Linked DNA regions of Oryctolagus cuniculus. The protein of the gene in region 2 purifies or fractionates together with the protein of the main gene of each other region. This does not show direct contact. Links are inferred from orthologs where the notes say so. Each region holds a gene or a part of one and is shown on either strand. Other genes may lie near its edges.

Evidence for each region.
Region 1: the proteins of SLC39A12 (region 2) and ABHD12 purify together in Homo sapiens (co-immunoprecipitation; 3 studies listed by BioGRID and IntAct, counting the BioPlex papers as one, with this or other methods). This does not show direct contact. The link is inferred for Oryctolagus cuniculus from reciprocal best matches to the Homo sapiens genes SLC39A12 and ABHD12.
Region 3: the proteins of SLC39A12 (region 2) and NAT14 purify together in Homo sapiens (co-immunoprecipitation; 3 studies listed by BioGRID and IntAct, counting the BioPlex papers as one, with this or other methods). This does not show direct contact. The link is inferred for Oryctolagus cuniculus from reciprocal best matches to the Homo sapiens genes SLC39A12 and NAT14.

What each region holds. Positions count from the first base shown.
Region 1 is NC_091442.1:49,780,105-49,784,125, forward strand, and holds the start of ABHD12 (lysophosphatidylserine lipase ABHD12), read right to left. Parts: upstream 2,822-4,021; 5' UTR 2,647-2,821; coding exon 2,456-2,646; intron 1-2,455.
Region 2 is NC_091444.1:44,135,036-44,138,558, forward strand, and holds part of SLC39A12 (zinc transporter ZIP12), read left to right. Parts: intron 1-1,853; coding exon 1,854-2,026; intron 2,027-3,523. UniProt on the Homo sapiens protein: Uniporter that promotes Zn(2+) import from the extracellular space to the cytoplasm across the cell membrane. The transport activity is temperature dependent. May play a role in neurulation and neurite extension.
Region 3 is NC_091449.1:3,483,263-3,487,574, forward strand, and holds the start of NAT14 (probable N-acetyltransferase 14), read right to left. Parts: upstream 2,815-4,312; 5' UTR 2,682-2,814; intron 413-2,681; coding exon of another isoform or gene 1-412. Other genes in the region: ZNF628 (zinc finger protein 628), read right to left, coding at 1-412. UniProt on the Homo sapiens protein: Probable acetyltransferase. May act as a transcription factor that regulates the expression of coproporphyrinogen oxidase by binding to a promoter regulatory element.

The DNA.
Region 1 (4,021 bases), on a different chromosome or scaffold from region 2:
AGGAAAGAACAAAGCACAATTCACGGAAGCTGCAGCAGGCTGGGGCAGTGGGTAACACACCACTTGGGATGCGCGCATTCTATATTGGGAGTTCTTGGGTTCAAGTCCTGGCTCAGATCCTGATCCCAGTATCCTGCTTAATGCACACCCTGGAAGGCAGGTGACAGCTCAGGTACCTGGGTCCCTGCCACTCATGTGGGAGACCTGGGTGGAGTTCCTGGCTTCTGTTTCCTGCCTGACTCAGTCCTGGCTATTACAGGCATTTGGGGAGTGCACAACAGAACAGACCTTCTTTCTCTCTTGCGCGCCCGCGCGTGCGCCCTTTCCTTTTCCTTTTCTCTAACATAAAATAAATTTTAAAAGTTTAAAAAGAATATCCAAAAGTTAAAAGTCAATCTGAGGAGCCAATTTTGTAGTGTAGCAGGTTAAGCTGGTACCTGCAACACTGGCATCCCATATGGGCATTGGGTTTAAGTCCCAGTTACCCCACTTCTGATCCAGTTCCCTGCAACTGTGCCTGGGAAAGCAGCTGTGCCTGGGCCCCTGCCACCTACATAGGAGATCTGGATGGAGTTCCAGTCTCTTGGCTTCAGCCTGGCCCCAAACCAGTCATCAGGACCATTGGGGGAGAGAACCAGTGGGTGGAAGATTCTCTCTCTAACTCTGACTTCCAAATAGATAAAATAAATAAATACTTAAAAAATAAAGAAGTTGACCTGAACTTAGAATAGTTATTACCGGAGACTGGTAAGGCTGGGCAAGGGCAGATGGAGGGCGACTGGGCAACACAGTCAGCTGGGGTAGAAGGTTCTAGAGTTCCCCAGCGCAGTGGGTGACTGCAGCTCACAGCAATGTAGCACAGCCTGTGTGAGGGGAAGGCCGGGGAGGTGGGAAGGCTGGGGAGGTGGGGACGCCGACTGCCTGATGTGTTCAGTTTGCTCCACGGGCACGTGTTGAAATACTGCACAACTTTTTAGCCTTCCTTCCCCGGGTCTTGCTTTTTATTCCTCTTACAGCCGTTTGTTTATTTATCCAAAGGATCCCTGGCCTACTTGACTGTTTCTCTTTGTTCTCTGACACACCACCAAGAATTAATCAGGTCCTTTTAAGACAGTCCGTGCTTCAAGGAACGTGCCAGGTCAGCATTATTTCCCTGAAGATTATTGCGCATAACAATTCGATTTTTTTTTCCAAAGGAGGAACTTTCTGTCTTATCTAGGAGATATGCTAAGCCTGTTAAAGTGCATTAGGGTTAATCATGAGTCCTTAATGCAGACAAGCCTTCCCACCGCAGAGAACAAACTAGTTCCACACAATACATTCATGAGCTGCTAGATAATTTCACAGGCACACAAGCCAAAACTGCCCCTGCCTCCCGGCAGGAATGAGAACCCATTCTGGGGCATCCCTGGCTTCACCTTTAAGCAGCGAAGTTGAAATTTCCATTTTCTTTAGGGGCTGTCTGCGTAAACATTTAACATGGAAGCGAGCAGTGTCGACGGAGGGCATCCCAGCTCACCCCAAAGGAAACGACTCCATCACCCTTGAGAAACATCGCATCCTAACTTCTTCCACCACGCCACGAAACAGCCAGGCTTCAAACCGCCAGGAGCAGCGCGCTCCGCAACCAGCCAGATCCGAAGGAAGCCAGCAGCACAGTGTCCCTGAGAAACACGCTCCTGCCTCGGCTTTAGCACCAGCTTTACACAACCGCCTGCCTCCTCTTCCCCAAGGAAGGCTTCAGCACTCCGCAGCGATGCCCAAGGACACCCAGCCGTGTGCACCGACTCCAGGCGCCAGACACCTGCCCGCGAACACAGCCCGCCCTGTAGCCGCTGAGATGCGGCGCATCCTTGCTCTCTCCGTCCTGGACAGCGCAGGTCGCCTGCGGCTGACACTCCCTGGCCGGAGGTCCAGCAGTTCCGGGCTCCCCTCCGCCAGCTCCGCGCCCAAGGAAAACAGGAGCCAGAACAGGTGAGGGGCGCTCGGTTGCGGGGCCGACCCCTCGGCGTCCCGCCGCCTACGTGCCCAGCGCCCCGGGACTCCCCCAACCCCAGTGCTGTTCGCCCTTGCCCGGTCGCGACTTTCGGGCCGCCCCCAAACCCTTCGCGTAAGGAGTCCCGCGACCCCGACTCAGCCGGGAAGGGGCAGGGACGCAATGCCGGGTTCACGCTGCCGGCCGCGGGGTGGAGGGCGCGAAAAGGGCGCCGGACACGTGAGGAGGTGGGCAGGGGGCTCTCCGAACCGGGAGGAAGATGCAGGGGGATGTTAAGGGCTACCGGAGGGCCAGGTGAGGGGTTGCAGAGAGGTCGCCAAGAGGACACTGGAGTGAGGGGCAGGTGGAGGCGCTCCTGCAGGCGGATAGCCTGAGGAGGGGTGGGGGGTCGTGGGCTTCCAAAGAGCCGCACCTGCGGGCCAGGTGCGGGGGCTCCCGGCCCCCTGCGCCGCGCCTCACCTGCCCAGCGCCCGCTTCATGCCCGCGTCGGCTGCGCTGCGCTGCTCGGCCGGCCCTTTGCCCGCCAAGCGCAGATTCTGCTTCAAGCGGCAGTCGGCGTCCAGCGCCGCGGCGGCCGAGCCCGGAGAGGACGAGCCCGAGGCGGTGCAGCGCTCATGCTCCAAGGTGACGGGCTCGGTCCGCTTCCTCATCCCGCGGCCGACAGGGCCGGCCGCCCACGGCGCCCGCTGGCCTCGCCCGCCCGCCTACGTCGGCCTCGCAGCAGCCCCTGCTGCTCACAGCCGCCGCCGCCGCCGGGGAGCCCGGAGCCTGCCGCCCCTCACATCCCAGCCCCAGGCCGTGGCGCCGGCTACGGATCAGCAGCGGGCCGGGTCTGCCGCGCTGGCCAATCAGCGCCGGGCCCCGCCAGCTTCGGCCAGGCCCCGCCCCCGGTGCCGCCGGCCCAGCGTCCCGGGCGCCGGCCCGCAGCCATCTTGGAAGAGGGCGGCCGAAGCCGCAGCCTCGCGTCATCAGCAGGGCAAGGCTGAGCTTTCGAGTCCCGGTGGCCAGGGCGCCAGGCTCCCTGAGGCCTGGGGAACGGCTTCGCTTGGGCGCCCAGGACCGTTGCCTGTGTCCGTAGTCCGACCACGACGCAAGGCAAGGTTCCTCTCCTCACCTGGAAGTGTCATAAAGGAATATAAGAGCAAAAGAACAAGGAGCAAGCCACAGTTACGTTCTTTAGACTTGCAACTACTTATCCAGGAAGCTTTCACTGTAAAAAAAAAAAAAAAAGGGCATTCAGGTAATTAACTTTTAATAGGAAACAACTATTTTATGTTTGCTTTGAGACTAAGTGAAAAATTAACTGTTTACTCGTTAGAAATCTGTATGACAGGTTAGATTTTTATAAAGCAAATAAAACTATCTGATGGCAGGAAATCCGTTTTAAAGAAACATTGGTCGTTGTGGAACCCAAATTAAGTACTAACTCAACTCATCCTGAAAAGGTAAAAGGAAAGAATAAAGGACCGTTTCACAAATTTAGATTCACAGCTTTGGTTTTCTTTACTATGGTATTAATTTTACAAATGATCTACAACAGAGAGATTATTTGCTTATTTATTCCAAGGTTAACTTCTGTAATGTAAACATTTGTGTCAGTTTGCAAACTCTTTTTTTTTTTTTTTTTTTTTTGACAGGCAGAGTGGACAGTGAGAGAGAGAGACAGAGAGAAAGGTCTTCCTTTTGCCGTTGGTTCACCCTCCAATGGCCGCCGCTGCAGCCGGCGCACCGCGCTGATCCTGGCAGGAGCCAGGAGCCAGGTGCTTTTCCTGGTCTCCCATGGGGTGCAGGGCCCAAGCACCTGGGCCATCCTCCACTGCACTCCCTGGCCATAGCAGAGAGCTGGCCTGGAAGAGGGGCAACCGGGACAGAATCCGGTGCCCCAACCGGGACTAGAACCCGGTGTGCCGGCGCCGCTAGGTGGAGGATTAGCCTATTGAGCCACGGCGCCGGCAGTTTGCAAACTCTTGGCAACTGACAAAGATAAATTGGAAATGCCTTTAGAAGTTCAGTAGCTCCTTAGCT
Region 2 (3,523 bases):
CCCATGTTGGGAGACCAGAATGGAGTTTCTGCTTCCTGGTTTTGGCCTGGCTCAGTGCTTGCTGTCATGGCCATTTGGGGAGTGAATCCCCTGGGATGAAAGACCTCCTTCTCATTGCCTTTTGAATAAATCAATCAATAAATTTTTAAAAAAAGACTCTCCATTTCCCCCTCACTCTATGTTATAGAAGTTCTGTAGTGTTGACAGGGTGTGTGGTGGCAGGAAGAATAGAAACTTGAAAGTTTTTTTTTTTTGCCTCTTCTGGGTACAGTATTTTAATATTAGACCCCTTTATAATTTAGAACTTATAATTAACAAAGATCCTCTTAAAAATCATAAGCTACTTAGTATGTAACTAGCTCTACATTTAAAATGATCTAATATAAATGGCAAACATGCTAGAAAAATACAAGGATGATGAGAAAGGAAGATTTTTCTACTATTACAAGTTTAAGGGTATAGTTTTTTAAGAAACTTCAATAAGTTTTAAATATTAGAATAACTGAATTACTGATGCATTTGCTGTGACCCTGAGAATCTAATTATTAACAAATTCCTCAAAAAATAAAAAATGTTAAAAAAGAAAAGGCATTTATATGGTCCCTAAAGAAAATGATGCTTAAATGTTGTAATTATTTTCCCTCACTGTGTATACGCCATTTGCAATGGCTTGCTAGTCATTTCTGAATAGATGGAAAGCCAGGCATCTGCAACCATATGAAAGTGGGAGCAGGAAGAACCTTAAAGCCCTGTGTCATTGACATTTGTCTCTGAAAGTTATTAGCTCTTCATCTGTTCTCTTCCTTGACCTCTTTTCCCCCCATATATTTCCTTTTATTTGAATAATCTTGAAGGTTATACTTTCTGCATAGTAAAAATTCTACTACCTGGAAGCCTAAAAAGTTTGGATAAATGCTCATAGCTTGAAAAAAGGCTTGTGGAAATTATTGCAAACAATCTAAAATGTAGACTGTTCAAATTTATATCATCAGCTATTACATATTAATTGACCAGTTTTCACCAATAAAATCACTTATTTTTTGTCACTGAAGCCAATAAGCACTCCTGACATTACAAATAGCTCTGAGAACCTTTTGAAGGCATTCTTCCAAAGTGTATACTTGTTCTGTATACAAACATTGGTCTGCAGCAAGGCCAGACCACCTGCTGCCTCTAACACTGCTCTCAAAGCTTTAACTAAATGTGATTACTACTGCTTGTCACTGGATGCTGTGGCCCTTCAAGTAGGAATTTCTTTCAGTGTGCTGGGAAGTAAGCTAGGGTCTTGCTTGCCACAGTGATTTTTTAGTACAGGGTGGGTAGCCAGGGCAACTTCAGATCAGTAGTGTTATTTGGTTACAGTCCTGTCTTTTTCTTTAACAAAATATCTAAACTGCCTTAGATAATAACAAAGGCATTTCTCACAGTTCTGGGGTCTGGAAGTCCAAGTTCATGAACCCTGGTGAAGACCAACGTCCTGGCCCCCAGAGTGGTACCTTCTCACCGTGTTTTCAGTGGGTAGAGGTGGTGAGCTCTGATCTGTTTGGCCCCTTCCAAGGTCGCTAATCCCGTCCACCAGGCCCTTCTCAGCCAGTCACCTCCCAAGGGCCACGCCTCCTAAGATCACCTTGAGGCTGAGGCTTCAACACAGGAGGGTGGGGGTACTAGCGGGGTCACAAACATTCAGACCACAGCATATCTGTTCATTCTTTTCCCCAAATCTGAAACCCTTGACTCCATATAACACCACCAGCTGTTAGCATAAGACAGATTGTTCTAGCATTTTCTCTACTGAAGGCAAGAACGGAGGAGAACGTGTGGCACTGACGGCTTTGGGGTCTCCTTTGACTTAGAATACGGCTACAGCACCGTCGCGGTGGCGCTTCTCACGCTGGGCTCCATGCTGGGGACGGCGCTGGTCCTTTTCCATGGCTGTGAGGAAAACTACAGCCTCGTGTTACAGCTCTTTGTGGGCTTGGCCGTTGGGACGCTCTCTGGGGATGCCCTGCTGCACCTTATCCCTCAGGTAATCTCTTTTCCATTGCAGATGGAGCTGTCTGAATTCTCTTGATGTTCAACCACTGCAGGTACCTGCGCAAAGTTTTACAGCAACTTGAATGAGGAATGAGGAATGGGATGGCCGGTGTTGTCTCTGGAAAGAACTATTATTTCCCCAAACTTCTGCCCTTGTAGGAGAGGAGATGACCAAACACTAGGTTTTGCCACTCATTTCTTCTAGTGTTGAAATAGTAATGAAAAAGACAGGGGATCGGATCCAGATTGCTGTTAATAAAGATTCCAGAAGCATATGTAAGAATCATCTACAAATGGAAAAGTATAAGCTGAAAAGACATTGTGCTAGTTTTGTTTTTAGCTTTGTCTCCTCCCAACCCTGCTCAGATCATTCTTTGTCTTTCTCTGCTGCCTCTTCTGTTCCAGAATGTTCTGTCCCCTCCGCTCCCTTGCAGGCTGGCTGTTTGCGTTCACTCAATGTGCGGCACAGTGGGAAACCCAGCACAGGAGGAGCAGAGGCCGGGAACTGTCTGCCCTGGCTCGGCATCTGGTCTAGAAGTAGCTGCGGGGCTGTGACCAGCTCACCCCTCCCTGATGTCATTTCCTCCCTCTGCCCTTCGGCCCTGAGGGTGGTAGTGATTGGGGCTTGTTGGGTGCCGGGGGCCCCATTTTCGCTTGTTCTCACCCTTGACTCTGCCACCTCCACAGCGGTTCCATCACCAATGCCTCTGCTTTGGAGCTATCCGGATGCATTTCTCTTTTTTGCTAACTAATGCTGTCTAGATTTCCCCTAAGAAAAATGGAGAGAAGCACGGGGAGGCTTGCTGTTTGTCAGGAATGACAGGTCTAAGACGTGCGATGTGAGAGTTGGGGCAGAAGGCTTTGTGGATGACGTTATGTGTTCCCCCTGAAATCGCTGACAATGGATAAGGACAAGAGACCCAGGATATCCGCCCCACCTCCCTACCCCTGACACACAGCTTGCAAAGCCTGAGATGTTAAAATTTTCCATAAGCCTCTGGCAGTTTCTGCCAGGGTCACTCTCGTTGCTTAGATGCTCAGTAATTATTCAATGTTCCGAAAAAGGCAGAGTGAGCATTGGAGAAACACAGCAAACCATTATTAGTTTTAATTTCCCTCATAATCTAATCTTCTGGAAATATTTCGGGGCTTATTGCTGGCTTGGGACGATGGCCAGGGCCCTGTGCTAGGTCATGGTGATGGTTGCAGAGCTGTTTCCTGCCCAGGGTCCTGGGATCAGCAAAGGGACGGCGAGGCTGCCAGAGAGGGAGCACACAGCCAGGGCCGGGTGGTGAGGGTGAGGGTGAGGGTGGGCCTTGGGGGTGGGTGGTGCATGTTACAGAGGTGAACTTCAAAGATTAGCTTGGTTTCATGAAATTTAGAAGGCAGCTTTTTGCTCAGGGAAAGATGAGGACCGATGTTACTAAAAAGCACAAGTATGATGACAAGCTAGAAAAATCAGTGGCTCTTGAAAGTAACCCATGGCGAG
Region 3 (4,312 bases), on a different chromosome or scaffold from region 2:
CCGTGTGCTGCCGCAGGTGGTACTGGTAGTGGGACGACCACTTGAAGGCCAGGCCGCACTGGCCGCAGGTGAAGGCGCGCAGCCCCGTGTGCACGCTGCGGTGGATCTGCAGCAGCGACGAGCGCTTGAAGGCCTTGGGGCAGTCGGGGCACGGGTAGGGCCGCTCGCCCGTGTGGCCCCGCTGGTGGTACAGCAGCGCCGAGGAGCCCTTGAAGGCCTTGGGGCAGTCTGGGCACTTGTAGGGCCGCTCGCCCGTGTGCGTGCGCTGGTGGTGCAGCAGCCGCGAGGACCAGCGGAACGACTTGCCGCACTCCCCACACTCATACTGGGCTGCGGGGGCCGCGGGGCCCGGCTTCTCCCCGGCCCCCTCCGCGGTGGAGGCAGGCGCCATGTCCGCGTGGGAGCCGACCATCACACCTGGCGGAGGGATTCTGGGTCAGCGGCGGGCGCTACACTCAGCCCCAGGCCACACTGGCCGCCTCCCCGGCCACCCACCCCGCGGGGGGCCTCCCGTGGGATGTGCGCTCCCAGCAGCCCAGGGTTGCCCAGGAAAGAGGCTGCCAGTGTCAAAATGGAAACCGCCCGACACACTGGGACAACGGGTCACCCTCGCGACGCTGGCCATCTCCCCGGACTGAGCAGCCCGGGCGCGGCCGGCAGGCCTGTGCTCCTTGCCCGCACAGCCAGGCCGCGTCCTCTGAAGACCTCACCCGCCTGCGCCCCCACACGGGCTGCGGCCCGGCCTCGCCCTAAGCCTTCCGTCTGCCCACAGCCTCTGCAGGGCCCTGGCCTCCAGCCAGTCCCCCTAGCCACCATCACCCTGCCTCCTCGCTCACTCCCTCTTGAACCCCCAATCCCTGGACACCAGCAGGTCTGTGGCCCCTGCTGCTGCGGGCCCTGTGCCACTGTCCCGCCCCCATTCTCACAGCCCCTCCCCCAGCCTATGCTGGCCCCACTGCACACACCCCGCTCTGAGGCTCCCTGGCAGCCTCTCTTCTCCCCAGACTCCAGCACCCCGTCCTCTCCTGCTCTAAGCGGGCAACCCCGCCACGGACCACGCCGGCTCCGGGGAAAACACAAGCAATCCGGAGAGGAAGCCCTCAGCTTCCAGCCAGCGGCTCCCACCTCCCAGGGGAGCCCCGGCTGTCTCTCAACTGCAGGGCAGGTGCTGCCGGCCTCTGGGGTGAGGCCAAGGGTCCTTCTCAACACTGCAGGGGGTAGGACCACCCCCACGCCGTGGAGAATGCTGAGACCCCTCCCCCACGAGGAGCCCACTGCCCTCCATGCCTGTGCCCTCGCATTCCCACAAGTCTCCCCGGGAGCCGTCCCACTCCCAGGGCTGCGCACCCCTGCCGGGCTGTGCCACGTGGCACACCTTGGACTTCCCATGCCCAACCCCACCCCAGCTTCCTGCGCCCGCTTCAGCCCGGACTCAGCCCCGTCTTCTGTCTGAAGGTGGCAGCCAGGGGCGCCGGGCCCTCCTCGCCCGCCTCTCTCCCCCTGGCTCTCCGAGGCGGTCCGCCAGCAGGGTCCCCTGCGGAAGCCGGCCACTTCTGGAGGCCCACCTGTGTGCTGCCACCTCCTCTCCCGGAGGCCGCACCAGGCCTCTGCCCCTGCCCCTGCCCCTTCCCTTCCTAACCCCACCTGTCCCCGGCACAGCAGCTCCAGGGAGGCCACTCCACTCCGCTGCCCTGAGACCTCCCAGAGGTCCCGTTTCTGAGCCTGCGGCCCCGTCCCCTCCATGCCTTCGGCTGCGGGTCACCCCGGCCGCCAGCTTGCTCCCTCCTTGGGGCACCTGCCGGCGTCCCCAGCCCCCACCTCACCCCCAAGTCTTTGCCGACACTCCCCAGTCTCTGCCCCAGCCTCATCCGTGTCTCCATGGCACTCGTCCCCTCGGCGGTGGCCGGGCCAGAGTGTCCCGTGGGGCTGTTTTGTGCACGCCGCCAGCGCCAACCACGCCCCCGCAGCCGGGACCACCACACTGGCTCCTGATGTCACCAGACTGACTCTGGGGCCTGCTCAACCCTCGCCTACCGCCCCCAAGACCGACTGCGGCAGCCCCTGCTGCAGGGCCGCCCCAGCGTGCAGAGGACCACCCAGGGTGCGGCCTCGGCCACGGTTTCCCCAGGCCGCAGAAACGGGGGCCTGTGTCCAGGGAACGAATCCCTCTGAAGCATGAATGAATGAATGAATGAACGAATGAATGAGCACCCCCCCGAAACGGTAGGCGAGGCCTCTGCGGGGACCCGTGCGTGCCCAGAAGCTGGTGCGCCTCTAAGAAGACCGAGCATCGCTGGGGTCCCAGCGGCCGCGGCCCCGCTGGTGCACGGAGCAGAGCCGGCCCCTACAAGGCCGGTTCACGCCCTTCCAGCAGGTCGGACTGCCCCTTTAAGAGGGCGCCGCCACTGAGCGGCCGGGGAGCTTTTCCTGCCATTACCTACGCAGCCGTCACGGCCTTTTAATAAGACAACTCCTTTTAGGGGGCAAACAAACAAGAGGGGCGGCTTCTGTAAAACGCAGCCTCTGGCCCTTTAAGAGGGCGGCGCCGGCCCAGCGGGCACGAGTCGGCGGTAAAATAGCGACCTTCCCTTTAAGGCACCCCTTCCGGTTTCACGCTCACCGCTTCCCCAACGTCTCCGCCCTCCGGTCCCTCCCCCCACTCCCACCCCGCGGGGTCTCACCTGCGGCCCCGACCCGGGGAACGAGGGCGGGGAGCCCCAGAGCCTTCCCGCGGGGGCCGACGGGAAGGGGGCGCCCCGGTGGCGGCCGTGCGGGACAGGGGGCCGGGGAGGGGGGCGGGGGCGCGCTCCCTCCCGGCGGCCCCCGGCGCGAGGCACCCAACCTTTATCGGCGGCCTCTCGCGCACACAAACCCCGACGTCGCCGTCGCGCGTCATGACGCGCGCGCGCCGAGGCCCCGCCCCGAGCCGCCGCGCTCCCGGGCGCCGGCGGCGCGTGGCATCCTGGGAGTTGTAGTTCTCCGGGCCGCAGGCCAGGGCCTTCCGTTGTCCACCGGCTTTTTTGGAGGGCGCGCTGTTTCCCTAAGAGCAGCGTCCCTTTTACTTCTGCTTTCGTTAAACACTGGCCACAAAGGAGGCGTCCACGCTGCCCAGAGGGCTACCAGGCAGGGCGGACGTGGAGGCGCAAAACTCTGCCAGCCCCGTGCCCCAGCCACCTGGTCCTCGCCCAGCCCGGCAGGAGGCCCACAGGGTCCAGAAGCCGACGCGGCCCTGCTTCAAGCCAGGAAGTGGACAAAGCTTTGAAGTCCACGACGCTTCCTGATCGTGGTAGCAAGCCCCCTCGGGGCAAGCTCCGGGGAGAAATCTCAGGCCAGGCCGTGTCCAGCGTTATCCAGGCCCAAAGGGAGTGGGGGGGGGGGGGAGGTGGCTGGAGCAACGGGGCTGCCCCAGCCCCCGCCAGCTCTGAGCTGAGCCCTTCCGTGTAGCTCCTCTGTGGGCCACAGGGGACATGAGGGGGTCTCTGAGGACCCTGGAGCCAAGACGCAGGGGGGGGGGGGTCTACCCCAGACCCTCCGCCCACAGAGCACCAGGAGCCGCTCCCCGGCCCCTCGACGTGGTCAGCGCCTCCCAGAGGGTCCCCGATCCGAGGCGGCCCCAGCCCCGCCCTCCCGTGGTCTCCCATCCCAGGGGAGCTGGAATTTTCTGGGCGTCTTCCTCCCGGGTTCTCTAGGGCGGCCCTGCTCACTGCTGCACACAGTAGGCGCTCAATAAATGCTGAAGCCCCGCCCCCATCACTGAGCCGGCTGGGTTAGGAGCCGGAGACCGGCGAACACCTGTCAGCGCCTGGAAGCGCAGGTAACCAGGGAGTCTCACCTGGCGCCGCGCCCTGCACCTTGGGCCGGAACGTGGGCGCCCCCTGGTGGAGCCTCCGGAGGTGTGCGCCCGGCCCGGCCCGGACTGGCAGGTGCGGCGGCCGCCCCCATGCTGCGCTCACCCTCCAGCGCCCCCACGGCCCCTTGCCGAGGGCACCTGCACCTACCCCTCTGGGCCGCGGCCAAGACATAGAGGGAGGCCGAGCGACAGAGCTGAGCGGACGACAAAAGGCAAAGAAATGCAGTCCCGAGGGAGGGACGAGGGGGAGTCCGGACCGAACACCCGACAGGCCCGAGGGTCGCAGTGGGGCTGGAGACCCTGGAAGACCCCTGAGAGAGTCCCTGACGCCCCGGCTGGGCCTGCTGTGCACCTGCCACCAGCACCCAGGCCCCACGTCCCCTCGGTAGCCTCCCTGGGGAGAAAGCTGCGGGCCAGTCTTGGCTTCCCCTGGAGCCAGGGAAGGCGGCAGGGGCAGGTGGG